Medicago truncatula: one gene and its partners. The protein of the gene in region 1 binds, or shares a complex with, the protein of each later gene. Links are inferred from orthologs where the notes say so. Each region holds a gene or a part of one and is shown in the gene's direction. Other genes may lie near its edges.

Region 1 (8,017 bases):
TGCTGCAACTTGGAGTGTAGATGGTAAACATTTTCTAAGGTCACACGCAGTGACGGATCCAGAAGTTTTGCTTTGAGGGAGCAACATTTCATCATCCATATGAAAGTATTGATGAGACAGCGAAGACACCGACAACAAGAAGTGTCATCAATGAATGTCTACTAAGATATCCATTAAACTCAAATAAATGACATAAATAATATATTTCAGCTTTTGATGCATCCCACTCTACAACAAACTCTTCATTTTTCTGAAAGTCTAAGATTTCTACGGTGGTAATTTGATTGTCTTTAGTCTCATTCAAAATATGAGTTCCAAGTAATCCCAAAACTTCAACTTGAAATTTCATGAAGATTTCATGTGTACAATTTGCTTTTCAAACAGTGAAGGTGTTTTAAGAATCGGTTCCGTGTGTCATGTATTAAAATCAATTACTTGTTTTTTTGTCTCTTCTCTATCTTGCAAGGAAACTATATATTTTTCAACAAACTCATTTAATGTAGTTTTATTATAACCTACATATTTGTCGAAAAATGAATTAATGCTCTCATATATCTGAGTTGTTGACATACCACAAAAAAAAGTATCCATTATGTAAATAGGAACTCAATGATCATGTTTATCATATAAAGACTTAATTCACCCATACCCATATAATTGAAATAATTTCACAATCTCTTGTCATTTATGTATAAATAGTTGCTTTAACCAAGATATATAAATGCTCGAGTTTAGATATCTGATAAAGTCGTCATATTTCTTAATACATGACAAAACTTCTCAAGAACATTTCTAAGTATATGCCAAAGACAAAATCAGTGTTGAGTGTTTGGAAATATCTCTCTGATAGTCACTTTTATTGCTCTATCTTGATCACATATTATTGCAATTGGAGGTTTTACGCCCGACGTTTTGAGCCATGTTTTCATCATCCATATGAGAGTATTTGAGGTCTAATCTACTAGTAATGTGTAACCAAGTAACCTTGACTGAAAGTTATTATTCACACCAATAAAAGGAGAACATGACATTTTATACTTATTTGTATTAAATGAAATAACATCTCGAAACTCTTGATAATAATCTCTATATTTTTCATCTACTTAAAATAAATTTCTTACATGATATAATCTATGATTTAAATAGTAACGATAACTCATATATGATATGACTATCATAATAAACTAATATAAGAAATGATAACAATAACTCATAATGATATGATAACAATATAAACTTTGATTTAAATAATAACAAGGAAATATGTCGTACTAGTACATGTCAATGGTGAGAAATGGAAATAAAAAAAATAAATAAAGAGTGAAAGCAAGTTAGAACATGAACATGATTTCATTGATAGAGAAAATAGGTTTAATCAATTTTATGAAAGCAGCCAATTTCATTGATAGAGAAGAACCTGAAAGTGAACATGAAAAGAATGTGTGTGTGGGAGTTGGATCACATGAGATAAAAAGTTAAAAGCTAATTTAATAATAAAAAATAAAATAATTAGTAACACTAAAAGGATGAACCAGTCATCAGTAGATTGAATTAAAAAAATATAACACATGACTAATTTTTATTTAATGTGTCAAAAGAGTGAACTAGTGGTGTGACCTTAACATTTCTCTAAAAATATTACCTACCAACACACACACACACACACACACACACACACATATATATATATATATATATATATATATATATATATATATATATAAAAGGAATTAAATTACACTAAAGTAATGTTGAATCAATGTTATACCATTCAATATAGTTTTACTCGATTAATATTTTCAAGTTTGACCGTTAATTATAAGTTTATATCATATAGGTCATCTATGTAAAATTTTATACAAATCGAAAATTATTTGATATGTTTTTGTGAACCACTAAGATTAACGATGTTCTATAAAAATGAATAAATTGTTTATCTTGATGGGTCTCAATAACATATCAAATGATTTTAGTTTTATGTGAAAATTTACATGGATCATCTAAATGATATAAACTTATAATCAAACGGTCAAATTTGAAAAATATGAATCGAGTAAAACGATATTGAATGGTATAACATTACTTTTGAAATGATGCTTGTAATTTTGTTATACCTTATGCCTGTAATTTTTATTAATAAAAATAGTGAGTTGCCTAAGTTTGTTTTGTACTATCAGTATCAGTTAACTAAGCATACATGTGCAGTTTTAGATACACGACAGTTTCATTATTTCTCCTTAACTTGGCAGGTCCAGTGCAAACACAATTAATTCATTCATTTATATTATACATGACATGTCCATTTCATTCCTTCACTGGCAACAAAAATATAATATGGATTGATAATTAGAAAGTTTTTAGTTGAAGCGAGTGACAATCATGTGTTTCGAACAATAATCAAATTTAAGCCGTGACACTAAAAACAAATTTTGTTGTGGAGCTTATATTGTTTTCTTTTATCCATCATTGTCCTTGTGTAAAGGGTTGAGTTTATATTGTGACACTAAAATTGAGAAGTTATACATTGTAAATTCAATATCAAACTAATAATAACATTACCATAATTCAATCAATATTGTAAAACAATCAGATCTTACATAATGTCAAAACACTTAAACAACAAGCCAAGACATGAATTCACAATCAAAAAGGAACAATAACGTGCACCCCAAAACGCTGTCAGACCCCCAAAACAAACAACCAATGTAGCAACAACAACCAGCAGCAACAAGGAAAAAACCCACACCCACCTCTGAACCAACCCAAGTCTCAATGCCATGTTGAAATATTTAATTATAATTTATTTAATTATAATATTCCAATAATTATTATATGGGCATATATATATATATATATATATATGTTTTAATTATTTTATCTATTTATTTTTAAGGGCCTTAATTATTAGTGATCAAATAATGAAAAAGGCTTATTAAGTTTCTATTAAAATAATAATTAATTATTTAAGTGATATGGACTTGGATACGGGTGGATGTTCGGATGGTCCATTAAGGAAATAATGGGATCCTCAATTTACCCTACATGCCTATTGGGTTTCCATTGGTTTCAAACAAGTCAATAAAGAAATAAGAATGATTTAGAAAGTTATTTAAAATCATGCAAAGTTTTCTTGAATATATTTTTGAGTTCGTCTATATTTAAGAGTTTATAAACAGATGTTCCAAAAAAAACATTTATGAGTCCTAAATTTATGTGTAAAAAATCATTTAAATACATCTTGACTTTACAACATGACCAAAATACATCTCGACAAATTTTGTAAGGATAAAAAAAAAGTGTCTTTTTTTTATAAAGACAAAAAAATTGATAATTTTGTCGGAACGAAAAAATATTCAAACTCTCGATGGTAATGTCAACAAACTAACTTACAACTTAGTAGTTACTACTCTCCACCTCAAAATAAAAATAAAAAAACTTAAACTTGCTTCGTCCTAAATTATAAATTGTTTCAACAATTTCACATAAATTAAGAAATCTAATCAATTTTGTATAAAAAATAGAAAGTATTAGGAAAAAAATATGAATTATTTTACAAAATCATCATTCATTGATGATATGAAAAAGATAAAATCAGAGAAATGAAAAAAGATAGAGTAATAAATAGTTAAGAATATAACATAAAATATAAGCTTCATTAAAATTGTAAAAACGACTTATAGTTGACACAAATTTTTCTTCCTAAAATAACATTTTTTGTCAAGTTGTTTGATGGGTTAAAATTCATCTGTTAAGGTAAATAAGTAGAGTATCTGATGTTTGAAACCCGACTCCCATACATAGATAACAATACATTATTTTGTCAATTGATATATACTCACGATGACAAAACTACGGAGGAACTTATTAAATCAATTCTCTATCAATAAAAAAAGAGTAAATAGTCAATTTCCCCCCTGAAATTGTAAGTTTCATCAATTACCCCCCTGAAATTAACAAAACTTCAATTACCCCCCTGAAATTTCACAACGTTAGTCAATTTACCCCCTCCGTCAAATTTTTCTGTTAGTGAACATGACGTTTTGCAAATACCCCCCTGAAGTTTTGCACTTATGTGCAAAATGCCCCCCAAACTTAAAAATTTATATTATTTTTTTCTTAAAAACAAACAATTAATAGTTAAATATTAAAACTAACTATTAATTTTGGAATTTGGGAAAACTACATGCATATATACATCAAAATAGGCTCCAAAATGGGAAAAAATATGTATTTTTTAAAGTGACAATAATGGGATGATTTGTGGATTAATATTGGGGGTTGTGTAGTTTAAATGGTTTGAGCAAATTGTTGAAGGAGTTGGAGGAGTTAAAAGACTAAGATGGTGAAGGAGAAAATATAAATTTAAATCTGATTATTAATTTGTTTATAAACCTCTAAAAATAATAATTTGTCTATTAGAAATAACCATTATTGTCACTTTAAAAATAAACATTTTTCCCTATTTTGATGTATATATGTATGTAGTTTTTCCAAACTCCAAAATTAATAGTTAGCTTTAATATTTAACTATTAATTGTTTGTTTTTAAGAAAAAAATAATATAAATTTTTAAGTTTGGGGGGCATTTTGCACATAAGTGCAAAACTTCAGGGGGGTATTTGCAAAACGTCATGTTCACTAACAGAAAAATTTGACGGAGGGGGTAAATTGACTAACGTTGTGAAATTTTAGAGGGGTAATTGAAGTTTTGTTAATTTCAGGGGGGTAATTGATGAAACTTACAATTTCAGGGGGAAAATTGACTATTTACTCATAAAAAAATTATTGGTCCCGTGAGCACAACTCAATTGGTAGGACAATACATTATTATATGGGGTCGGAGTTCGAATCACGAACACGTGAATTCTAGCCACTAGAACAAAAAAATTTATTGAATTAGTTTCAATAAAAAAACCAAAAATATTTTTTTTTAGAGGCCAAAAATTACTTGTTTTATATCTTTCCTTCAATTCCTCATTTTTTCTTACTTTCGCCCAAAAGTCCTGAAAGTGAAGGATATTTCCGTAATTTAAAACCTCTCTAATCTCCTTCATTCACCAGCAGCAGCTTCACGTCTTTCTTTCTCTCGTTCCCTCGCAAAACCCTAAACCAAAAACAAAACTCAATCCAAAAATTCAATCTCACATTTCAACACTTTCAATCGAGTTTCAAATATGACACAATCGAAGAAAAATCACAAAGATAAACCAATTCGCCGCAAGTAAGTTTCATCCAATCTCATTTTTTTTTACAAAATCATAGTATTTTTTATGGAGTGGGAGGTGCAAATAGTAACTTCTGTGGGGTGCAAATAGTAAAGTGTTTGAATTTGTACAGGGAAGAGAAACCGGAAGAACCAGAATTGCCAAAATATAGAGATCGAGCTAAAGAACGTAGGGAAGATCAAAATCCTGATTATGAACAAACTGAACTTGGTTTTCATGCTGTTGCTCCTCCTGGTACCGTTGATATCAGGTAAAGTTTCGATTTTTGCCTTTTTGTTTTTTAATCAATGCATGAAGCACAAAAAAGAGTTTTTTTTTTGTTGGGTGTGAATTGGCGCGCAACTATGAAGACTAATCTCTCAAGCAACCCAAATGGGTGGCGAACTATCAGTTTTAATGTTGTTGCATACCCAAACTTGAGTTTGAACTCGAGACGATAGTTAAGCTAGAAGAGACTTTTTTTGGTATTGTCTAATGTTGATTATGTTTTATAGGGCATCTGATGCGCACAAATTGTCTATTGAGAAGAGCAAGTACCTTGGAGGTTCGTCTTGTACTTTTATTTTGTTCTACAATGATTAATATTATCTTGGTTTGTGCTATGGTATAATGAAATTTTAACAAACCGGTAGTGTAGAAAAAAGACTTGTAGATTTTGAAGTAAGGTGAGTAGATAGATAGATAGAGGGTATTCGAATCAGAAAGGTAGAGAAAGACGTAGTCATGTAGGAAAACTATATGAGAAACTATTACGAAAGATTTAGATATTATTGAATTGGATACATATACGATATATGATAGAACACTATGATGTCGTTTGATCCATGTAGCCGACCCCACTTAGTCGGAAAAAGGCTCGGTTGTTGTATTGTTCTAAAAGCTGTCTTGGTTTGCAAAGAAATAGTTAGTCTTAAAGCAGTGTTGTCAAATAGCAGCACTGTAGTTTAATGAAATTTTAACAAATGACTATTTGTTCTCAAAACTGTCTTGGTTTGCAAAGAAAGTTATTTTAAAAGTAGCATTGTCAACTGGCCGTGCTATAGTTTAATGAAAGTTTAACAGACTGCTATTGTTCTAAAAGCTGTTTTGGTTTGCAAGGAAACTGTTAATCTAAATTCAGCGTTGTCAAATGGCTGCGCTATAGTGTAATGAAATATTAATAAACCACTGTTGTTCTGCGATACACAATTTAGTACAAAGTTTTGTCAAATAGCAATAGGAGACTGGTCTGGTTTGTTACATTTTTGGCTCTCTGCCATGAGCCATCGACAATACAGATAGCGTGCTTTAGTACTGTAGCATAGTGGAATTGGAACAAACCAATATTTTTTGCGATCTGCGATTGACACACTGCATAAAAGCTTGTTTTAGGTCTCTTCTGCATGTTCATAAAATTGTTAATTACTATATAATTCTTGTTTCTGGGAAGGTTTATTACTTTGGTGCATTAGAAACCTAAAAATAAATTGAACATTCACTTGTTGTTGTCATCCTCATCATGACAATAATTCAACAACTAGAAACAATGTCTTTTCCCACTAGATGGGGTTGACTACATGGATCAAGCAAAGTTGTAATTTTTTTATCATAAATCTTATCGAATAATATAATCTTTTAATGCTTTTGTATATAGGTTATTTGGGTCTCCTTCTATACCTAGTTATTAGAGTCTGGACTATATTTAATTTGCTCTAGCCTCCTAATCGATACATCTATAGGTGTCTTCCAAGAATCTCAAAACATCGTAAATGAGTCTCTACTAGTACTAACATTTTTAAACAATGGGGTCTACCCCTACTTTTTCTCTAATACTTTTGTTTCTACTTTTATCTTGCTGTTTGATCACTTATCCATTGTATCATTCTTATTTGTGCAACACTGAACTTACCTTTTCATAGGCTCTTTACTACCCAACATTCAGTGTTGTAGTTGTGCGATAAAAGTGTCATCTAATTCTGACTTCTGAGTGGTATTTTTTTGTCAAATGTTACCCCTAAGTGTTCTTCCATTTCATCTACTCTGGTTGGATCTTGTAATTGACATCTCCTTCTGTTTCTTCGTTATTTTGTGAATTAGACCTAATATTACCTAAACCATGCTGCTTAGTAAATAGTTCATTCTCCAATTTTCACCTCGAATTTAGCAATTATGTACCTCCTTCCAGATCATCAATGATTTGTTCCATAAAGATTTAACAAAGTTTTACGTTGGTTGTTATTTGTCTAACGCAACCCTCCTTATTTGTAGGAGGGGGGCTGGGTCGGGCTTTGTGATGCACATACGCATAGTTGTCATCCTAAACCTCGATGATCTCAAATTTCCATATATTGTAGACTCTAATATCTAGTGAGTAGGTTTTAACTTGGAATTTTGAATTTCCTATGCTGCATGCCTCGTGATATTTTCTTATTCAGGTTTATATTCTTACGCTTTTGATTACATTTTGACATTCTTGCTTTATGATAGAGTAGGTTAAAACATGAAGCCCTAACTGAATGTGTTATTTTAATAACTTACCTTGTTTGCGTTAATTACATTGGTCAGGTGATGTGGAGCATACACATTTGGTTAAAGGTTTGGATTATGCTTTGCTGAACAAAGTAAGAAGTGAGATTAAGAAGCCAGATGCTGGGGATGATGGCGATGGGAAACCCAGGTGACTGAGTCAGAATTTTCTGCAGTAGTAGTTATGTGGTTGTACTGCTATCAATTAAAGCATTTTATTGTCCTTTAAAAATTGTTTAGTAAAATTTGTTCTTTTGTAGGGCACCCAAGGAAGACCAGAAAGTGTCA
Region 2 (7,817 bases), on another chromosome or scaffold:
TCGTAGCAGCTGGTAAGTTTGAAAAAATACATTTTGATTTTGAAAAATCAAAGTAGCTCTCTTTGTTTATATTTATTTATTTATTTATATATCGCGCTACAACATGACTTGCAGGACTTTCTTCGGGAAAAATTGGTACCATAGCCTATGCTTGTATGCAGGTAGTTTTCTATCCCTATATGAATTTCTCATACATTTATTTATTGATAATATAACTGTACTTTTATAACAGCATATATTAAAATGAATGACAGGTTCCATTCACTATTTTGGGAGCCATTTTGATGGATAAATCTGGAAGAAGACCACTTATAACGGTAATTCTATTATCAAGTATCTAAAATTTTTGATAATACCGTTGATAAGGGGAAATGCCTAATAGAAGTGTCTATATGCATGTAGGCTTCAGCAAGTGGAACATTTTTAGGTTGCTTTATGACTGGAATTGCTTTCTTTCTCAAGGCAAGTTTTACTAATCATATTTTCTATATAGATTATGACGTGTATCTCTCAATTCGTCAATTTTGAAACTTTGTGTATAATTCCATGGATCAGGATCAGAACTTGCTGCTTGAGTTGGTACCAATATTAGCTGTTGCCGGCATTCTGGTGAGTCTAATTTGAAAATGTGATTAAGGAATTTGAGTTAATGAAATGTTAGTTAATCACATACATTCTTTAAGCATATTTGACCTGAAATTGTATCAAATTGTGTCAGATATATGTAGCAGCATTTTCAATTGGAATGGGACCGGTTCCTTGGGTAATAATGTCTGAGGTATGTGTCATTTGGTTTTGTGGCTTTTGTAGTGCAACTCTTATGAACAATTGTGCTCATGGAAGGTATTGAGAAAATCCAAGTCACGCATTGAAAAGATACAAATAGTGACATTCTTACGATATATGTCGATTTTATAAAAATGAATTAGACTCGATATAAAAACCGAATAAAAAGGTAGATGCAGTGTTGATGTAAGAAATGCTTTAATTAATACTAGTTTTCATATTGCAGATCTTTCCTATACATGTAAAGGGAACTGCTGGGAGTTTGGTAGTTTTGATAAATTGGCTAGGAGCTTGGGTTGTTTCATATACTTTCAACTTTCTTATGAGCTGGAGTTCTCCTGGTAAGCACAATACACTACCACAATTAGTTAGTAAACTTAAGTTCTTCATCTTGGTAACATATATCTTCTATATTTTTGAGCAGGTACATTGTTTTTATATGCTGGATGTTCCCTTTTAACTATTCTTTTCGTAGCAAAGTTAGTCCCAGAAACCAAAGGAAAAACATTGGAAGAAATTCAGGCATGCCTCAATTCATCGATATGAATTAAAGAGTTACCAAATCACAGCCACTAGTTGATGGTGCTGTTGGAGACCAAGCTGAAAATTGCAGTAGGAGGACATTTTTCAGTTACTATTATTTTATCAGATTGTAGTATTAGATTGCTTTGTTGCAAGGAATAGCAAAAAGAGGACTAGGATTGGCAACACCGAGTAACTCATAAAATAGCAAATTAATAAGAGTAATTTTTTTACATATGAACTGCATTGTAATAGAATGGACGTTACACCTAAAATATAGACCTAACTAATAAGTGTATTGTGTTAAGTCCAAAACACATAACTGTAAATCAACGTTCAAAATGCCATGTTTAACACATTAACCTGCATCAGTAACCTATTAAAATCTCTAAGCAAACAACCAAACATTCAAATGAACTATTTTGTTCCAAAACAATATCATCAACAAAATGCACTAGAACCACTGTTACTCCTACATCATTTTCTATAGAATGGAAGACATCCTTGACCTTAACTGAATACGCACCAGTATTCATAAATATCATGTAAAAAAAATGTTTGCCCAAAAAATACGTACAATCCTCCACTAACTCCTCTTCTCACTGAAATAGACTACACCTCCACCCGTCCCACCCTTGCTAAAACCCGAAATGAACACATCCACGAACGACACCTTCTTATTATACCCAAAAATATGATCTTTTTTTTTAATATAATTATTAATATGATACGGTTGATTATGAATGAGATTGGCGTATAAAATATGATTTCTAGGAGTGAGTTATACCGAATGAGAGTCAACGATTGAAGGTTTGTGGACCTTGAGGAAGTATTTGAGTAGTTGTGTGAAATCTCACGAAGAGCTTGAAGATAGTTCCTTTGTGATGTGGTAATCAAAGAACAAACACAACTATCTGAACAAGATCAATGAGCACACTGCCACTAAGTCCCTCTTTGGTTCTGCGGTTGGCATCCATGGACGTACGTTTACACCTCTAAACGTGGTTTTATTGTATTTGGAAGGTGTTTGGTACCCATGTTAAAAACGTGATTGTTCCTTTTACAATCGATTTTATGCGAAGCTACAATATGTAGCTTTTCTGTCCACCAAAATCAATTCTGCAGAAGTAACATTATTATTTCCAGCTTTTCCCTTCATTGTCCTGCGTTTTTTATGTCTAACACAAATCCTAACGTTTATTTGAATAAAATTGACATAAAGAAATAACTAAATGTAGTAACGGTGAGAAACTTAAAGGACCGAAATAAATCAATTTTTAGTTAGAGGATCAATCTGATACCAATTAAATAGTTAGACGATAAAAAAAAGTAATTAAACATTTTTTTTATTGCTGTCTGGTACTGTTATCTAATCTTCAGGTTAGAGATGAGAGATGAATGGGCCCATTGTAATTCATGTAGAGTCATTTTCCTTTTACATTTTTATTTTATTTTTTTGCTTTTAATTCTAAAACTAGAAAAGCTCGAACTATGTAGAAGTGGAAGCAAATAATAATTCAATTGGTTTGATAACAAAATATTACAAATAACTCTTATTAATGAATATTATTTTAAAAGGAATTTCCGTTAAAAAAATCATTTTAAAAGGAATTTATGAACCAATAAAAATGTACTTATGATTTTAGAAAAGTAGAAATAATTATCTGAAAAGAAAATATGATATTTAGTTTCAAAAACAATTAAAAGGATAATTTGGTCATTGTACATTCAAAATCAATTTTGATTAAAATTATTCAAACAACATCAACTCATAAGAATCACTTTTAAGTGAGTGTATCCAAACATAAATCAATTCACATCAAACTCACTTTTAACCATAATCAATTCTCTCAAACTCAATTATACCAGAATCAATTAACTCTGCCGCCAAACCAAACACGCTGAGACAATTGAAAAATAATTTTTGGGTCTCATGCATGAATCACATGTGATACTAACGAGTCTTACACTATGGTTATGAATTTAAATATTGAATCATTTAGAGGGTTGGGATGAATGAAAATTTTGAAGTGGTCTAAGAGAGTTTAAAATTCTATGCAATTTTTATTGTTTGAATGATTCAAAAAAAAAAATTGGTACAAAATGATTCAAATTTTTAAAAAGATGAAAATTTATAAAATATTTTGTTTAAGTTAAGTTTAGAAAATTTCAAACGATACTTGGAAACTATTTTTATTAGGAATTCTATTTTTTTTAGTAAACCTAAGAAATAAAAATTATGAAACCTAAGAAATAAAAATTATGAATGTCAAATTGGTTTTTATATTTTCTTTTTAAAAAAATTCAAGTTGTTCTTCATAATTTTTAAATTGCTCGTATAAATTTCCAAAATTACAAGTTGACTCCTGTAAATTTTCAAAGATTGAAAATTAACCTCTAAATTTTTTTAAAATTTGAATTTGTCCGTTTAAATTTTTAAAATTTGCAACCCGGTCCATATTTAAAAAAAAAAAATAACTTTGACCCAAAACTTTTAAAATTTAAAAAAGTAGCATAAAATTGTTAATAATGATTTGGTTCAATGACAGTCACAAATGTCCTTTTTATAGTATGTTTTGTATAAAATTATTCTAAAACCATTTTGCTGTGGAAATGGTTTATGTGAGTTGTACTCCAAAACCATTAGATGTACTTAATGGTTTCAGCAGGTGAAAAAAACCAAGGACCTAGAGCCATTGACATCATTCAGTTTTGGACTGACACAATTGGAGGAGGAGGAAAGAAATGGTTTATGTGAGTTGTACTCCAAAACCATTTTGTTGTGGAAATGGTTTCTGTGTGTTGTACTCCGAAACCATTTTGCCGTGGGAATGGTTTCCAGAAATTTTTGCTGTGGGAATGGTTTCAGCAATTCATTTTTTGAGCTTTCACTACAAATCCATCAAACACTTTTCTAGCAAACAATCATCAGAATCATAACACACTACAAATTTCGAATTCTTCTTTTCTTTTCTATCAATTTCGAATTCTTCTCTTTCGTGTCCTTTTTTTTTTCTTCGAATCTTTGAAGCTAAATCTAGGCATATGTGTTTGCTTTTCGAAAATTTTGAAGGTGGATTTGAGTTTAAAAAGAAAATGGATGTCGGATTCTTGATTTTTTTTTTTTTTTTGAAAACGGAGGTTTTTGCTATCTCCGGCGCGGCGCCGCCGCCTTGTTGGGATGGCAGGCACCGCCCTGGCGCTTGAAGAGGAGGTCGGAGAAGAAACTCTTTTGCAGAACATCTCTCTAAGTTTCAGACTTAGAGAGAAAGAGTGTTGGTTTATGATTTTTTTTTTTGTTTGAAATTGTTTTTATACTGCCTTTTCTTATGTAAATCCAATGGTTGTGAAGTGTTTATGCACCGTAACTTTTCCCCTTACGGAGGTAGTATAATTTATTCATATCATCTTATTGTAAAAGAATGTATTTTACTTAAAAAAAATAAAATTGTAAAAGAATGTATTTAATTCTTCAATTCATTCCTATATATTTTTGTCCTCTCTCAATAATTCGCAATCCTATCTGAATTTTACTATCGGGGTATTAGGGTTTTTGTTGTTCCTCTAGAACTCTCTTCTCTTTAATTTCTCAGAATGGGTCGATATCGAAGCCGTAGCAGAAGCTACAGCCCTCGCCGGCGTAGCAGAACTCCACCACCTCGCGGTCGCAAGCGTTACGAAGATGATCGCTATCCTGACAACAGGTCTCGCAGAGACCGTCGTTCTCCTCTTCCTTCTGGATTACTCGTTCGTAATCTCCCTCTTGATGCAAGACCTGAAGATCTTAGGGGTCCATTTGAACGCTATGGTCCTGTCAAGGATGTTTACCTTCCGAGAAACTATTACACTGGGTATCGTCTCTTCTCTTCTAACTTTTTTTTATAGTAACAATTCAACCCCTTTCAATAAGATATTACTATGTATATTTGATTTTGCTGTGATTAGAATTGATTGAGTAAATTGTTTCTGATTAAAAGTGATTTCAAGGTCAATTGATTTGTGCTTGAATGCATTGTATAAAAGTTGAGTTGAACTATAAGCTTGTGTATAAAAATCAATTTTAGAATCAAAAGTTACAAATCCTAGCTTCAAGTAGAATAAGTTTGGAGGCAAAATCAATTTTACTTGAAAACAACCAAACATGTGTTACAAATCCTATCTTCAAGTAGAACAAGCTTGCAGGCACAATCAATTTTACTTGAAAACAACCAAACATGTCAGAATCAATTCTACACCTCTAGAATCAATTTTGGCCACTTTAGAAGTGGAACCAAACATACACTGTGAAATTGTGTGTATTTCATAGGAACTTGTGTAATATGGGGTGTCTAAGTCTCACATGGATTAAAACTGCTCGAGGTTAGCCTTTGACTTTCGGAGTGTGCTCCTATCAAGGTGTCAAGTTCAATTCCTCCACGTGTTAACATTTCTTGTGTTGGGCCGGTCCATACTCTGGTTTCAATTGGGTTTGTTAGGAGACAGTGGGATTGGTCCCTTGGATTAGTTTGTCATTTGGTTGGATATCGAGTTTCAAAACAAAAGAAAGTCCGCATGGAATTGGGATGCTTGGTGGAGTGTTGAACTGGTTTGAGGAACCTATGGAAAGCTAGCTATTTTGAGTAGAATCAAGCCACTTAAATACATCGCCAACCATACCATACTATTCAATGTGGGACTTGGCACCATATAATACCCAAGTCTCTAGGAGTATTTTGACCATAGACTTATTTTTTTACTTGTATGTTAATAATATATTGTTTTTAAATTTGTGATTGGTTTGATTTCACCGTTGAATTTTTGTTGAATTGGTTTTGTAGTGAGCCTCGTGGCTTTGGATTTGTGAAATACCGACATGGTGAAGATGCAGCAGAGGCTAAGCAACAACTTAATCACACTATAATTGGTGGACGTGAAATAAGAATTGTATTTGCTGAGGAAAATAGGAAAACCCCTCAAGAAATGCGTGTTACTACTTCTCATGGAAGGTGTGCTTACAGTTTGATTTGATGTGCTAGTTATTTTTACATTTTACAATTATGAAATCGTTTCATGCGTATTGATCTTTTTATTTATTTATTTATTAAAAGTGGTCGAAGTGGAGGTGGTGGTAGTAGAAGGAGAGCTCGATCAAGATCTCCACGACGCAGCCGTTATCGATGTTAGTATACCTATTTGCCTTGGCTTCAAAATCATATTTAAACACTAACAATTTTTTAAATTGGTCTATGCATTCTTTGAGAAGCCAATCCTTTTATTTATGTTATTATATCTGCATTGTTTGCAGCCTACTCTAAGTCTCCATCACCAGCCAGGGATGATTCAAGGTTTGAGTTTTACACATTACTAATGGTTTATTTTTCCTCAATCATATTACTATATTTTAATATTTTGCTGAGCATCATATCATCTTGCTTGAACTAAAGCCTAATTTACAATTATTATGGTGGTGCAACCGGTTGCATTTGGTTGTATACTTGTATTTAGGTACTGAAATATTATTTCGAATTGAATTTTAGACAATAGTTGTATTTCATAAGCTGGAAGTGATTTTATTTTAGCTGTAGTATGACATGTTTAGACTTTAGAATCCATGGTAGTAAAGGATGTTTGCTATTTGGTTGGAAATCATTGTGATCAAAGTTGCTCAGCAGAGCTACAGCTGGTAAAAGAATTGCTCTGTTAAGTTTTTATTCCCATCACATTTGTGATAGATGTACTGTGTCCTTGCTCGGCAAGAGTATAATTAGCTGGTTTAGTTCTTACAATCAGAGTGCCTTCCAATCCTATGACCTTGACAGGACTCCTATAATGTGTTTAAGTGAATTGAATGATATCTGCTTATGGTCTTCTTTATGCAGATAATAATGTGAGTGGAAGAGTTTAAAGATTGATTAATAAAGTTTAACAAGTAAAGAGGCTTAAAGTGATCTGGTACTTGCTTACGTATCTATCAAAGTCCCTTCATAAGAAATATCGATTCCAAACTTGCCTTATTCTGCCAGTTGTCCGGACTTTACCCACTTTGGATTTTGGCTTGTTGCAGAAGAATGGTTCAAATAATTACTTTTTTTTATTCCCTTATACCATTTTTCTGTGAAGAAGATTTTATTTAGTTTGATATATTGTTTTGCATATACCATCCAGTTTAGAAAGAATATAAAGCTTATAGTTGGCCAAAGAAAATCATGCTCAAAGAATGGAAGCCAAAGTATTTACGGGTAGAGATATGTTGTGCAAGAAAGATAGTTGTCATTTTAAAAAGTTGGGACAAAGAGAGCTATGAAGTTACCAGATGCTGTTGTTGCAGTACATCATTCATAACTGTCTGTTTGGATCAAAGTGTCATGTATTTGTCCAGAAACTTTTGGAAGGTACAGGTAAAGGTCACATTTTGGCTAATTAGACTCTAAAGAGGAAGCAAGTATTAGTTCTTATAAGAAACTAAAAAAAATGAAGGTTTGATTGATTTTGTGTCAATTATCTTTGTAGGTAGTTTTTCTTTAAACAAC
Region 3 (7,679 bases), on another chromosome or scaffold:
AAATATGAATTGCCTTTTGGAATTAATTTTTTTTACCGTTCGGAGATTAGATTTGTTATTTTGTTTAAACTTTTACAGGTTGGCATTCTCCTTCGAGTAATGGGTTATCCTTCCAAAACAATAATTTACCTGGCTGGCTCTGAAACATTCGGAGGTCAACGTGTTTTAATTCCTTTGCGGTCCATGTTTATCAATACACTGGATCGCACTTCCTTGTGCAGTGAGAAAGAATTGTCTGACTTGGTTGGACCTGAACCACCTCTTCCTCAAAATATTTTTCGGACACCTCCTTCAAAAAGCGAGGAAGAACTTAAAGAAGAATGGAAGAGGGCCGGTCCTCGGCCTCGGCCTCTACCGCCACCTCCAAATAGACCAATTTACCAACATGAAAAGGAAGGCTGGTATGGTTGGATCACTAAGACCCCTACAGAACCTGATCCTTCACCTATGGATATGAGGATGAAAGCGCATAGATTACTTTGGGACACACTAGATTACATTGTTTCTTTGGAAGCAGATGCCTTCTTTCCTGGATATAACAATGATGGAAGTGGATGGCCATATTTTTCAAGCCTTGTCATGGGACATCGGCTGCACGAGACTGCTTCTTCTAGAACATACCGACCGGACAGGTAAGTGCTCTTTGGTGTTTGTCTCAATTTATTGATATTCATTAAGATATAAAAAGGTTTCATATAAATCATCAAATTTTCTTATTTTATTGGGGAACTAGAGTTGCCAAGTTACTGAGTTCAATGAGCGGGTGAAAGATGACATTATTTTGTGATCTCTTTCTTTTTGGGCTGGAACTATGTGGGGGAAAGGGTAAATATATAGAGCAACGAGCCACGTTATTTCCTTTTACTCCACTTCAGTAACCAACAATGCTCAGAGATGGCATGTTTTGTCTTGACTCTTGATTGAATATTTATCTAAAGAACACTATTACAACTTTCTTCGGTCCTATTCCAGACATCCATACATGTCAGTATTTAAACAAATGCTAGACAAGACAATTCTCTTGCAGCAGACCACAGACAAGCCTAGGGCCTGTCTTTGGCACTTTCTGGATAAATTTTATGCATATGTGTTGTTCTGTCAATAAATTGTGTGCATAGTATGCCTTCCTTCCTTTCCACCTATGTTTTTTCTAATGCGGTAATTTTTTATTGATTGTCTTGATGCCTTGAGAATTGCATGTATGTATGCATCTGAAGGTGATGAGTATGATGAACTTCTGTTTCCGCGCTTTGAACTTCTCAGCATTCTAATTCTTTGAAAACCATGTAGTTGATTGTGGTTTTGGTTAGTTGAAATTTCCCTTAATTCTACATTTTAGTGACCCTATTTCCTCATGTTTCTTACAGGAAAGTTGTTGCGGAACTTTTCAACATGAACCGTGAGAATTTGTACCATCCAAAACACAATTGGACAATTTTAGTGCAAGAACATCTTAACAAAAGTATGACCGAGGAAGGCCTCATAAGGCAATCTCGATTGTCAAAACCAGCAATGTTCCTTTCACATCCACTTCCAGAATGATCTTGTAGAGTAGCTTCTGCCAGCGTTGCTAACCGCGTTAGAGGTGAGGATGGCCAATTTCTATATGGAGGCGAAGACCTTTGCCCCAAATGGATGCAGCATGCTAGTCTGTCAGGTTCGATGGGGAAAGAAGGGGTAAAATCTGAAGACGATGGGCTCCCAGATTATGAGAGTAATGATTTTGTTGATGAATCTGAGTCTGAAAAAAATGGTGGTAAAACTGATCAGACTCAAGTCTGGGATCAAGATGAGGAAATGGATCCAAATGACTGATAGTGGACGTGCATATCATAACTACAGTCTATAGATATACAACATCCAATTTTTCTGAAATTTGAGAGGTATAGGTTATAAGGTGCTCCGGCAACGCACATGTCTCAATGCTATCTGTGCTGAGCATATTGGTATTCAAATATATTCTTTCATTAATTTTTTGGTTATTTCCATAGACAAAGATAACAATTTCTTTTACTTTTCACTTTCCACTTTCATCTGAATTTTTGTTGTAACATACATATTACGAACAGAAGGATAAAAAGATCAGCTGTCTGCATAATTGGAGAACAGATAAAGTTAGAAGCAGAGTTTTTGTTTAGAAATTAATCCATATATGGCTGCTATCCTTTTTTTTTTTTTTTTTTTTTTTACACCGCATGATCTCTCTCTTTTTAAAGTTCTTAGTGCGATGAATATAATTATTACTAACACGGCAATCCATGGAAACAAAGCTCTGAAACAAATAAGATCAAGAAACTTCGGGTTCCCGTAAAATCTTTGCATCCTCTCCTTCCAATCACTCTCCCATCCTCCCCCTCATTCAAGATCTGTGTCCGTCTGCCTTTCAATCTTTTTTCCTTACGTTTTCTCTACCTTGATATTCTCTCTAGAATTTAAAGACAGATAGACACATATTGTGGAGGCCCAAGAGGGAGAACATGCAAGGAAAAAATTAAGGGAGAAAGAGACAAACAAATATATCTTTGAATGAGGGATGAAAGAGTGATCGGAAGAACGAAGAAGAGAATTCAAAGTGTAAAAAAGGTCAAAAATATAAAGTTTATCTGCACTTTATATTAAATATATAATTTTATGATAAATAATTGTTGTTTACAATAATAATAAAAAATCATTTTTAGTAGTCTAAGGCCCCGTTTGGATTGGCTTATTTTGAGCTTATGTGGGCTTATCTACTCCCATAAGCCTTTTTAAAGGCGTTTGGGTAAATAAATAAAAATAGCTTATCATAGTTTCATAAGCTGCTTATGCCATATTTTAATAAGCCTAAATTTTCAGCTTACCCTCTGGCTTAACAAGGAGCTTATGAATTTATGTAACCTCTTTCGATTCTCTCTAGATCCACTTTTTCAAAACATATATTTTAATTATAATTTTTTTTGAAAGAATATTTTAATTATAATGTTAGTTATCTTTGGCGGTGCATCAGTAACAAAATTGTTATATACTTATCTTACTAAAGTAACAAACGTAACTAAGATTTTTTTTTTTAAGAAGATTTTTATTATTTTTTTTGTTACGTAACAAAATGAAACTGAATAAAAAAACAAATTTAACTTGTCTTTTTTGGGTAACAAACTGCACACTAATATCAATATATATGATATGTTTATTTACACCTCTAATGTTAATTTTATCTTATATGAATATTGATATTTTTTTTAAGAACAAATATTGATTATACTATATATATATATATATATATATATATATATATATATATATATATATATATATATATATATATATATATATATAATTATAATTAATATGTTATAATATTGTTTTTTTACACCTTGATTAATTTTATCAAAAAAAATCTTGATAACTGTGGTTCAATTCTTTGATTTTTTTGTTAAATTAAAAATATTTAAAATTTCGATAATTGCTTATGTAATGTCACATCCAAACACTTCAATTTATGTAAGTACTTTTTAGTGTACATATCCAAACATAAATAACTTATCAAGTATAAGAGCTTATGATATAAGCTCTAATGTTATAAGCACTAATGCTATAAGCATCTATATAAGATGTTTATCCAAACGGGGCCTTAATCTATGTAATATTGAAGAGACCTAAATATTAAAGTGTAATATCGAATAACCATCATTTTAATCTTGAACTATCAACTTCTCACCAATTTAGTCACTAAACTATAAAAATATAAAAAATATTCTCTAAACTATATAAAATTCATCAATTTAGTCCATTGGTTCGGTAGGTCGGATTTTTGTTTTTGCTTCGTATATTTTTTGCCAGACAGTAAAAAGGGTTTTGGTTTAGGTATGAAGCGAGTTTAGATTGTCTTTTAGAAACCTGTGTTTCTTTAGATCAACAAAATATAAGATGAAAATGATTTAAATGCACGCCACACAACACTCTTTTAGAAACCTGTGTTTTTTTTTATCTTGTATATTCGGCCATTTGGTTCATGGATAGAAGATTTGAGCATTGCATCACATATTTGGACATGTAAGATTGTATTTGGCTCGTATATTTCATTGCATAATCGTGTATATATACAAGGGTATCTTAACTATCAAGACATTGTCAAATCATAACTGTGATTTCTCAATCAATATAAAATATATTTACACCCTACATATAAATGATATTTACATATTAATCTTATAATTTATGGTTGGTCCTATCACAACCTTACAAAACTGGTTTGTGATGCGATGATTGTCCCCGCTTATAAACACCTGTTCATGTTGTCTCTTATCTAATTTAGATTCTTTAAGAATAAGTAAACTAATTGAGTCTCAAAATTGTGAGCGTCGGACAATTTGGGATCCTAAATTACAAAATAGCAAATTTCTCCCTCAAATTAAATAATCCCAATCAAAATGCTCCTTTTGTTAAGTGGTTTTGTTAGGGTGGCAAGATGTAAGTGTATATGTCCTTTTGAAATAGCAAATTTCTCCCTCAAATTAAATAATCCCAATCAAAATGCTCAAAAAAATTACGACTATTTCTCATCCTTTCCCCATTAAATAAGGTATTATATCGGAAGCACGTTTTCAGTGGTGTATTTCATCTGAAAATATACCGTCGTACAAATTTGAGCATATAAGGGGTGCGATTAGCAATCATTAACAAAGGATGGGCCGTTTTCCTTTTCTATTGAAGCCCAAACCCGTTTCGGATCCATAGATTTAAACCCTAATCTCTTGCCTCAAACTCTTCGTTTCTTCTCTCGATTTCGTAGGGATCTTGTTCCAGCTTCGGCTTCAGTTTTGCAGCGATTGGGTGCTCAAGCTGTAATCTTTCTGGTATGGCGTGCATCAAATTTCTTTTGATTTGTTGAATTTGAATTTGTTTCATGCCTCTATTGAATTTTGAATGTTCCCGTTTTAAATTAGGGTTTTGAGGTAAATTTTATCTCATTTCCATCGTTGAGCTCCAAGTTTGAATTTTTTTTAAAATTCGCAACTTGGGTTTTGCCTGCCCACCTTGTATGCTATTGGGTGCAATTTCTGAAGACTCTGCTTAGTTATCACGTTAGAATTTTGAATTTTTATTGTTCTGTATATCTTAGTTATTATTGGAAAATAATCTCCAATTTAGGTGATGTGGTTGCGTTTTAAGTTTGTGTATTTCACGGGGTGAAATCTGCAGACGAGATTGAAGAAGCTGGTAAAAGGGTAATGATTCTAGTTAAGGATTTGTGAATTGTATACATGGGTATTTCAGATTGTGAGGTGAGGGTATAGGAATGTAGTACCAGTTACTTGTCCCGGAGAATAAGCAGCTAAAACAAGTGTGTGTAAAATTAACAAGGGGTAATGTTTACAGTTGAGGCACCAGCTCAGTGGTAAGAGCTTAGCCTTGTAACCAACGGGGACGGTTGTAAAATGGCCATTAGTGCTAGTTTAATCAATAAAAAAAAGGGTAATGTTAGGGTTTGATCTGTCAAAGCGGTTAAACGAGAGATGAGTAAGGTAACTTGTTGAGTATATGATCATAATTTGATCTCATGACACAAATGCTTTCTTTATGATAGATGACAAGCGCTTGGACAAATTTGAGCTTTGCAATCAAACATAGGGAATATAGAGTGGGAGTGGGAGAATCGGGGTGGAGTTGTGGTTATTTTTTTAAATAATTGGAGATTCTTCCTCACTCTCAGAAGGATTATGCTTGCTAATTTTCTGGAAAGGATGAGGAGAGCAAATTTATTTTCAATATTGTTATAGCTTTGGAGCATCTTTGGAGCAAATGAGCAATGGAGCTTGTGGAGCACGGCTCTCTTCAAGGATTGCTCTCTTGGTTTGCTTCATAGTTTTGGTTTTATTTACTTTTGTTTGTGTAATCATTAGAATGATGATAGTTAGGCGTTTCAGGTTTAGGCGTGGCTTCAGACAGTAATTGATTTCTACTTGTTGATGAGCTTCCGTTTTTTTGTAGAACTGTACAATTTCTCCAATCAAATATGAGTAGTCGCTTTTCTCGCACAATCTATGTTGGCAACCTGCCCGCTGATATAAGAGAATCAGAAATTGAAGATCTGTTCTACAAGGTTTGAGCTGCGTACTTTTCCTGTTTTCCATGTTATGGTGCCTTCAGTTCATGTCTTCATGATATTAGTTCATGATATTTTGTGTTTTGTTCAATTTGTTTGGCTACTGAATTTTTCTATATCTTCCTATTGTCTGGAACCTACCTTTACACCATTAGGAGTTTTGAACTGAAAATTTCTTTTACTCAAACCTGCATTTCTACTTCTCTATTTATTTTTTGTTTAATTACTGGAAATCAATTACAATTATGTTAACCGATTAGTAAAATTCATTAAACATATATTCAATTCAGATGATAACAGTTAACGAGAAAAGGTTTGGGTAGTTGTTTGTTGTTTTAACTGACAAGCAGATAGTTTGCATTATTCAATTCTTATGACTTATGAAGGATAAAGAATCATATATTCTTAACTACTTACAGCCATGTATTTTTTCTGTTGACCTCCTTTTCCTTTGAATGGACTATAGTTTGCTTAGCTTTGTTAACTTGGATTTGGATTTTACCCTTAGTTATATCTGTTGCTTGATTCTTATCTTATACGTAGCTTCAAGGGTCAATGTTTGAGGTTGATTGTTATGTACTAACATAGTCATGTTACAATGGTTTTCCATTATTCCCTTAACAGTATGGCCGCATAATGGAAATTGAATTGAAGGTTCCTCCTCGCCCTCCATGTTATTGTTTTGTTGAGGTATTTATAATTACTCTCTTATATATTTCTGTCTTGGCGACACTCTTTACCCTTTTTCTCACTACTAGATTACTTGTATTTTGGCTTGGTAGTTTGACAATGCTCGAGATGCTGAAGATGCAATTCGGGGTCGTGATGGTTACAACTTTGATGGTTGTCGATTAAGAGTAAGGGACTGTTCCAACTTTTGTCTTGTGAGGTGAAAACTTTCTTCGGAATGCCTAATCTGTTCTTGTTGTAGGTGGAGCTCGCCCATGGAGGCAGAGGGCCATCATCAAGTGACCGACGTGGGTATGGTGGTGGTGGCGGCGGCGGTGGAAGAGGCGGCGGCGGTGATAGTGCTGGTGGGGGCCGTTTTGGTGTCTCTCGCCATTCTGAATTTCGAGGTGTGTCTATTTAGGGATTCCTTTTTCAATATAAAAATGATAGGGAACATATGCTGAATGGTATTTTGTTACCAAATAAAAAACGCGGAATTGCATTTTTATTTTTCATTTAGGCTGTTCACCCATTAAGCTCCGACTAATATCATGTTTATCATTCTTTAAGGAAGAATTTAAATTTTCTTTCAAAAAGGGAATTTAAATTTCCCCGATTCATGGCATTCTAAGATTTTTCATGCTGAGAACTCTTGAACCATTGTCCATGACTCTTATCTGCATGTTTATGAATTCACAATTTTCGATATTTGTTACTGTATGTGCTTGTTTGCTTTATGTGATTCATAAATTACAAGTGATTTTTGTTCTACTTTTATGCATATTATTGCCAATCGGCAATAATTATTGAAGATATTTTTGTTTTCTAACTTTTCGTGATTTTCTACACACCATAGTATCTTAGTCTTTTTTGTTTTTGTTTACTACAGTTATTGTTCGAGGACTCCCATCTTCTGCATCCTGGC
Region 4 (7,962 bases), on another chromosome or scaffold:
CTTGGAATGGTTAAGTTAACAGACAGACTTCAGAACGTTCTGAAGTATTAGTATAAACACAATTTGAATAATTAAATGTGTTTGTGTGTGTTGTGTTTACTGTAAGTAAATAGTAAAGAAAAGAGAAGAAGAACACACAGAAATTTATAGTGGTTCACCCAATGTGGGTTAGTCCACTCCTCACAATCTTGTGAGATTTTCCACTATGATGCTTGAGATAACTTCTCAAATCCTGCACCTTACAACCTTGTTCACCTGAACAATTACAACAACTGTATTCTCTTAGCCTCAGCAGGCTTACACCTTTCTTGCTAAGTTACCCACTTAGACTTTACACCTTTCTGCTCAAACTAACACTTTAGTACCCCTAAAGCTAGATGAGACTTTCTTTACAATTTGTATGGAGGTTGAATGATATAGATCAGACAAGAGAAGAATGGAGGTTGAGTTTTATCTTTGAAAAGATATGAGAGATATTGATTTACACTTTTGAAGACTTCTTGGAATCTTTGTGATGATCAATATTTTTGCTAAAGCTTCAAACACTCTTATGTTGTTTTCTTGTATGCTTTGCAAAGGTGTATTGTATGCTGAGGTCTTGATCTCTATTTATAGAGTTCTTGATCCTTTATAGCCGTTGGAGAGTGACCACTGGTCTTATGCCACGTGTCCTGGGACCCACCAACTTTAACTTGAAATTCTGGGCAAACTGAGATACTTCAGAATGTTGTTGTGTTCTTCATGATCTTCATCTGAGTTCATGTGGATGAACGGTCAGATATGCATCTGGATTTTTGCAGATGAATGTATGATGAATTTCTGGGTTGTACTTGAAGATTGTTCTTGGACATACTTCAGAATGTTCCTGTAGCAGATCTTCTTTGAAATCTGTCTTGGAACGCGTGCAGGATATCATAAAGTGGTGTTGTCACTTCACTTCCATGCTTTAGGGGATTTGATTTGCTTTGTACAGTACCAACTCCCTTATGTGTCGAGATCTTGATGAATGAGATCAGATCTTGCTTTTGACTTTGCCTCTTGCTTTCCAACCACTGTACTGTTCACGTCAGAAAAAAGCATGGAGCAGGATCGAACTTTCTGAACTCAGGGGACTTCAGAATGTTTCTTTTGTTTCACTTAGGATGATTTGTAAGACTTGTAATTAATGTAATCAAATCCTAATAGTGAAACATTTATGAAGTGCAGCATGGAAAACATCTAGGATGATATTCTTAATGGAATATTCCTAATGTTTTGTACTTCAAATGTTCATAGTCTTAAATGAACATTGAAGATGTCCTCTTTGACTTTTATCAAATAAATGCCTTTATTCCTTGATTGATCTTAGTCAATGTACTTTACTGGGCTTTTATTTAAGTCACATGAACCTTGCATGATCGTCTTTTAGTTCATGAGTATCTGGGCTTGGTTCTTGATGTTCATCATGAACAACCTTCTGAACTCTGTTCAACTTTCTAAATTCTTTTTAACTTTCTGAACTCTGACTGAGTTCTTAAGTCTTTATGTCCTTTGATTCTTTGTATCTTGGTATAAATTGAAACTTGTTCCTGTCTTAGTTAACCACTCAAGAGCACAAGTTAAATACCAACAAATTAATCAAAGTCCATTAATTCCCTATTAATAAAGGTTTGTTATCTTTAAAATTAATTAGGGATTTTGCCTCAACAACTCTATGTTGCTTCAAAAACAAACAACAATCATGATAATTCAACTTAGTACATTTGTGAGATGCAACGAGGGACTTCCTTGACAGAATTTGCAATCTTTTTTTCACTTAGGTGAGCCATCCTTTTATGCCACAAATCTGACAAAGCAACATTCTTGACCACATTCGAGCAATCTTTGATCAACTTAACTTGATTTTTGTAAAGCCTCGGATACACATCGTCTCTAGTAACCATCAATGCTCCTTTGGTAGGTATCACTTTCCATCACCAAAGTTGTTTTGAAGTCCAGCTAAACAAGAGCATGGACGGAGATTATATTTAGACGCAAATCTAGCACATGTCGCACGTCCTTTAGTGTTGGTGTTAAACCGATATTGGTTTGAACACACACATCATTAATTCCAACAATATCTACAATATTATTGTTGTCTATCTTGACTTTGCCAACAAAGTCTCCTACTTTGTACATCACAAAGAATTCTTTGTTGGAAGTGGCATGATAAGAAGATGCAGAGTCAACGACCCATATAACACATGAATCTACAATACGACATTCTTCTTTTTCAACAAAAAGCAACATCATTTCCCCATCACCTACTAAGGTTGTGGTATTTTCATCTTCGTATGGCATTTGATTCCTCTTATCCTTCTTTTCTTTGCTCTTCCATTGTTTTCAATTTCTTTTTATGTGACCTTCTTTGCCGCAGTGATTATTGAAGTAGCAATAAATGTCACAAGAAAGGGGGGGTTTGAATTGTGACCCTTTTTAAATTATTCCTGAAAGTTTATATTAAATTTTATACTCAAGAAAATTTCTTGGTTAAGATACGTTAGTCAAATAAGTAATAATCTTAGGACCAGAATGATCTGGAGCAGAATGAGAAAATGATATAAGGCTGAAATATAAAGATTCAGTTAAGGACCAGAACGTTCTGGAGAGCAAGAATGATAAAACAATATATTGAGCTGAACTTAAACTTTAGTTAAATATTATGCAGTTGTTTTATCTTGGACCAGAATGTTCTGGAGGCAGTATAATTAATTAATTATAAGGACCAGAGAACTCTGGATTAATATGATTGAGATTTAAACAGGACCAGATTGTTCTGGAAGAAATTAGTAACGTAATATTATAAGGACCAGAGCACTCTGGATTAATATAGTAGAGATTTAAATAGGACCAGAATGTTCTGGAGATAAGAGATATTTCTTTTAATGGGTCTTTTTCCTTAATGGATCAAATTCCTTAAAAGCCCATAAATACCAAATCAAGTCATATGATCTTATTCCTTTATTTGGTGAGACAAAATGTTTCATATTAATTTCTTGCCTTTAATGATACATAGACTATTGCATAAAAAGTTCACTCTTGTCTTCATACGTGAGTGTTATTGTTTGTTCTTGTCATGTGCCAAGATCATTCTTGAGATCATTCTCATAAACATTTCTCATAAAAAATCATTAGTAGATAACAATATATAATTAAATAAATATGTTTGTAATCCTTAAAATAATAAAAAGGATTTTGCTTCAACAATTATATTTGAACTTTTTTCGAGGTTGAGACTGTAATCTGTCTTTGGATTTATTGGATCACCATCAGCTCTTACTTCTGCCTCTGTTTTCCGTGACATTGGTTTGAGAGCTACTTGATCCTATGTTTTTATTCTTATTTCTTCATCGAACATGTTGTCTTTAACTTTGAACAATGTCAGCCAGGCACAGATCTAGAAATATTGTTAAGCAGGTGCAAAATCATATACTAATTTTTTTAATGAAATCATATACTATAATAATGTACATTAAAAAATCTACTCATAAATAAGTGATATTATTAACACTAAAAAAGCAGAGACTACAAAAATTATATCATTTTATATCCAAACAATTGAATATACTTTCAAAAAATTGAATATACTTAAGTATCTATGAAATGTATTTCTCTATTGACTTTATATTTTAAAACTATTGTTTATTTCATCATTTTGAGTATTGTCGAATATATTTGTCTATATACATCAACAATCAATTATTCAATAATATTATATTTCATATTTTTGCATATTAATTTCTTCTTTTAAAAAAAAATTTAGTAATATTTTGTGGGGGCAAAACTTATTTTTAATGGTAAAAAAGTAAAATTACTTAACAAATTTATGTAAAATTAATAGAACATGTGGGGTCAAGTGCCCCCAATTAGCTGAACGTGTATCCGTGCCTGATGTAAGTGCTCCATCTGGAGCATAGTTGCTTAACGACACTACCCAAGTTTCCCTATTTTTTGGCAAAGAACTCAAAAGTAACAATGATTATAATTTGGCATCGAACACTTCATGGCAACCAATTGGTTTAGCAAGTATTGAAAGTCACTCAAGTGCTTGGCAACCGATCTTCCCTCCTGATACTTTAAATTCACCAACTTTCTAATAGTGAAAGTTTTGTTTTGTGCGGTATTTCTTTGATATATATTTTCGATGTTCTTCCATGGAGTATGGGCATTCGTCTATGTGCCCCACATGGTGGAATACACTAAGATCCACCCACTGCCTAAGCAAACTAACAACCTTCCGACAAAACTTTTTTCCAGTCTTCATTCGTAATTTTATCTGGCTCCGTGTCTCCCTTTTCTGCAGGATCATATGTATCATTGCAGTAAAGTATATCCTCCGTTTTCGACTTCCAAATGAAGTAGTTTCTAGAAGTGAGTTTAATCATCGTACTAGTATTCTCCTCTATTTAAGGGAAATTGTTCCATTCTATACGATTAAATTTGCCACTGGACGTCCATAAAATGACCTCTTTAAATATGTACCATAAAAGGATATAACTGCCTTAAAGATCACCTTCAAATAGGTTTTTCAAACAATGAAGTTGATTTTCCAATCTTTCATTACGTGCTTAATCATAATAAGAACTGGAAATGTGCTAGAGAAATTTTCTCTAAATTTCTTGAGGGCTGGGGTTCAAGCTCCCAAACTTAGGTAAAACATATTCTCCTTGTTGCAACCACGTTGCAAATGCAAACTTTTCCTTGAAATATGCATATGCGATTTTATGTCGTAAAAATGTGGCTCCTTATGATTCAAACTTGATAAGACTTAAGACTACTCTTGAAGAATTGTGAGAATTGTGAGTAAATTTGAAATTGTCACCCACAAACTAATTTGGTACCCCCTAAAACTAATAGGGATAGGCCCAGGGCCCATAAAAATTGCATCGAACGTGTCCAATTCTGGTTGATTCTCCAGAAACTTCTCATAATCTCACACTTCACCCTTTATATAACCATCTTCATCCTTCCTACGCCATTTCTCTCTTATTTCCAACACACAATTTCGTTGATTCTCTCTCATTTCCATATTCGAAAAAAATCAAGTTCTCACCATTCACCTTCCACTATGGTAAGTTCCATTTTCTCTTTTTTTTTTTTTTTTTTTTTTTTTCTTACATTCTTATTATGTGTAATTGAATATCGAATCAATTATCTCTATGCATGTCTTTCAAATTTGTTAATTATATTCCTTTTACTGTATAATTTGATTTGATCGATAAGGTTTAGCTTTAGTGGATATTAGAAGTTAATTATTTGGGACTTGTTTTAGAATCTTCATTTGTTGTAAAATTTGGTCTTATTATTATGCACTATTCAAATTTAATTGGTTTCTTGCATGAGAAATGATATTTTTTTATCAAATTTTTTATGTCAAATACCCCATCCGTTGTTTTGATGTTATATTTTTTAAAGGTTATAAACATATACGGATATGATATTTTGATGTTCAAATAACACACTCTCGTATTATAATTCTTGTATCATAATTAACGATACATTCATATTTAGTGTAAAAGTACTAATTTAATTTTGTACTTTCTGATTTGTTGCAGACATCATATTCAAGGAGATCAAGGTTAGTTGCTTACTGAATGTTCAAATTTGCTATTTGAAATTTTGAATCCAAGTATCTTTCGTTTTTGCAATGTTGCTTATGCTGTTGATTTTCGTTTCACAGGTATTCCCCCTCTCCCTCGCCCTCGCCTTCTCCATACAGGCGATACAGTAGGTCTGTTTCCCGATCTCTTTCAAGGTAGGATTCTCGACCCCTCTATTTTTATTTGAGTTAACTTTTGGAGTTGATTTATATAGTTATGTGTGTTATTGCTTCTCTGTTGTATTTTTAATTATCTAATTATGCACTCATGTTGAAGTTGTTTTGTTATGGTGATTTAGGAGCGTAACACCAGATGTGGAAAATCCAGGAAACAATTTGTATGTGACAGGACTGTCTCCTAGGATCACCAAGAGGGAACTGGAGAAGCATTTTTCTGCTAAAGGAAAAGTATGCTCTTCATTGTCTTCTATTCTTCTATTCATTTAATGCTTGTTATTAGTCTTAACTGGCTTATTATTTGTTGAAATTTAAATATGTTGTACTCTTGAATTGCTTTTGTAGGTGGTAGATGTTCATCTGGTTGTTGATCCATGGACAAGGGAATCCCGTGGTTTTGGATTTGTGACAATGGATACTTTAGAAGAAGCTGATCGTTGTGTGAAGTATCTGAATCGCTCTGTACTTGAAGGTCGTGTTATTACGGTTGAGAAGGTACACTCAATCAACAATGTCTATTTTGGGGCTTTGATTTTTAGTTGTTTTGATTTTTGCTCGACTTCACTGCATTGATTATGCATGGATGATTTGCGTTTTATGTTCTTTATGAAATTTGAAAGATTTATGCTTCTTTCCATTTGAAGTTTCTGTGGCAGCAGGTTAGGGTGTGAAGCAGCCCTTCATCAAACTCTCAAATCACAACTAAACAAATCAAATACATCAACAAGCATCAGACCGTTGGGGTTGTATGCCCTGCATTTCCCTCTTTTATTTTTCTTGCATTTATAACTTGTTATATTCCCGTCATTTTTATAGCTATCAAGTCCCTTCTCTGACAAAGGGTTTATATATATTTTGGGCTAAATATTTTAATTTTTTGATTTTATATTGATGTTGTTGTTGCTTACATTCATGTGCATAGCAATACCTTATCCTCATGTTGTTATTTGCATTTACTGCAGGCTAGAAGACGACGTGGTCGAACCCCAACACCTGGGAAATATCTTGGTCTCAAAACTATTCGAGGTGTGTTTCATTATTCTTTCTTGTGACTTCATTTATGATTGTCCACCCTTTTTTTCTTTCAAATTTTCTAATCCATATCATTTTGTTAAATTCAGGACGGCGACGCTCTCCAAGCTACTCTCCTCGACGATCGCCTAGCTATTCTCCTTATAGAAGAAGCTACAATCGTTCACCTTATTCATCAGACCATAGTAGGAGTCGCTCTTACTCACCTGATTACAGGCGAAGGAGGTCTTACTCTCCTGACTACAGGCGAAGGAGGGCATACTCACCATACTACAGTCGACGCAGATCGTACTATCGTTATGACCGGCACAGATCATATTCTCGGTCTCGCTCTCCTTACAGCAGGTCTCCTGTCAGAATGCGTGATAGATCATACTCTCCCTATGGTTCCAGATATGAATCACCTGATGATAGCTACTGTGGAAGGTACCGTTACAGGTCGGTTTCTCGAAGTGTTTCACCAAGGCCAAGGAGGTCAAGGAGGAGCTACTCGCGAAGTGCATCTCCTGTTCGAAGTGTCTCCCCCAGGGCAAGAAAGAGATCAGGAAGGAGTCATTCAAGAATTTCTAGAAGGAGTGGCGGTTATTCCAAAGTTAAGCATTCTCGATCAAGAAGCTCAAGTGTGAGTGCGAGTTCAAGATCGTTTTCAAGGTCCAACACTCCTGGAACTACCTCTCCTTCAAACTGAACAACTAGTTTATCCTAGATTAGCTTTGATAATAGTCTTAATCAGCGTGGAAGCATATATAGATTCGTAGATGGAGTGTTTTAGTACTTTAGTTTTGTTCAGGACTTGTGTTGAGACACCTAATTGTTATGTTTTTTCTTTTGAAGGAGTGCACAGTGTTATGTTATATACCATGGTTATTTGATTTACTTTTTAGAGTATGTCTTTCGTTTATTGTTTTACCTTACTTTTAGATTTCGTTGATTAAGGTGCTCATTTTCAGTTTCATACTACTACTCCAATGTCTGAGATTTTGTGATAAAAAATCTAAACAATAATTCAAACTAGATTACTGCTATACCAAAGAAAACATGCTTAGAACTCCTTTATTTCAGGTCAGTTTGTAATTTCTTATTAGTGCACATAAAATCAAATATTACACCAACTCTATTCATAACTGGATCAAGTA

Evidence for each region.
Region 2: suppressor of mec-8 and unc-52 protein homolog 2 (region 1) and serine/arginine-rich SC35-like splicing factor SCL28 share a complex: the UniProt entries of both Arabidopsis thaliana proteins name them as parts of the spliceosome. The link is inferred for Medicago truncatula from reciprocal best matches to the Arabidopsis thaliana genes SMU2 and SCL28.
Region 3: suppressor of mec-8 and unc-52 protein homolog 2 (region 1) and serine/arginine-rich splicing factor SR34A share a complex: the UniProt entries of both Arabidopsis thaliana proteins name them as parts of the spliceosome. The link is inferred for Medicago truncatula from reciprocal best matches to the Arabidopsis thaliana genes SMU2 and SR34a.
Region 4: suppressor of mec-8 and unc-52 protein homolog 2 (region 1) and serine/arginine-rich splicing factor SR45a share a complex: the UniProt entries of both Arabidopsis thaliana proteins name them as parts of the spliceosome. The link is inferred for Medicago truncatula from reciprocal best matches to the Arabidopsis thaliana genes SMU2 and SR45a.

The regions. Positions count from the first base shown.
Region 1 is NC_053043.1:19,409,545-19,417,561, forward strand, and holds the start of suppressor of mec-8 and unc-52 protein homolog 2, read left to right. Parts: upstream 1-4,998; 5' UTR 4,999-5,173; coding exon 5,174-5,220; intron 5,221-5,336; coding exon 5,337-5,474; intron 5,475-5,718; coding exon 5,719-5,768; intron 5,769-7,768; coding exon 7,769-7,880; intron 7,881-7,989; coding exon 7,990-8,017. UniProt on the Arabidopsis thaliana protein: Auxiliary spliceosomal protein involved in splicing of specific pre-mRNAs that affect multiple aspects of development.
Region 2 is NC_053045.1:57,273,150-57,280,966, forward strand, and holds the start of serine/arginine-rich SC35-like splicing factor SCL28, read left to right. Parts: upstream 1-4,815; 5' UTR 4,816-4,902; coding exon 4,903-5,159; intron 5,160-6,125; coding exon 6,126-6,293; intron 6,294-6,395; coding exon 6,396-6,466; intron 6,467-6,592; coding exon 6,593-6,632; intron 6,633-7,817. Other genes in the region: sugar transporter ERD6-like 16, read left to right, coding at 1-12, 115-161, 255-317, 403-462, 556-609, 719-778, 1,013-1,127, 1,211-1,332. UniProt on the Arabidopsis thaliana protein: Involved in intron recognition and spliceosome assembly. Probably active at the 5' splice sites.
Region 3 is NC_053044.1:45,763,799-45,771,477, reverse strand, and holds the start of serine/arginine-rich splicing factor SR34A, read left to right. Parts: upstream 1-4,679; 5' UTR 4,680-4,835; intron 4,836-5,566; exon of another isoform or gene 5,567-5,832; intron 5,833-5,970; 5' UTR 5,971-5,995; coding exon 5,996-6,082; intron 6,083-6,709; coding exon 6,710-6,775; intron 6,776-6,867; coding exon 6,868-6,942; intron 6,943-7,016; coding exon 7,017-7,161; intron 7,162-7,643; coding exon 7,644-7,679. Other genes in the region: protein EMBRYO SAC DEVELOPMENT ARREST 30, read left to right, coding at 79-632, 1,368-1,542. UniProt on the Arabidopsis thaliana protein: Probably involved in intron recognition and spliceosome assembly.
Region 4 is NC_053044.1:28,074,892-28,082,853, forward strand, and holds serine/arginine-rich splicing factor SR45a, read left to right. Parts: upstream 1-4,945; 5' UTR 4,946-5,086; coding exon 5,087-5,089; intron 5,090-5,573; coding exon 5,574-5,596; intron 5,597-5,698; coding exon 5,699-5,773; intron 5,774-5,916; coding exon 5,917-6,025; intron 6,026-6,139; coding exon 6,140-6,289; intron 6,290-6,756; coding exon 6,757-6,820; intron 6,821-6,915; coding exon 6,916-7,514; 3' UTR 7,515-7,709; downstream 7,710-7,962. UniProt on the Arabidopsis thaliana protein: Probable splicing factor involved in constitutive and/or alternative splicing events. May bridge the 5' and 3' components of the spliceosome.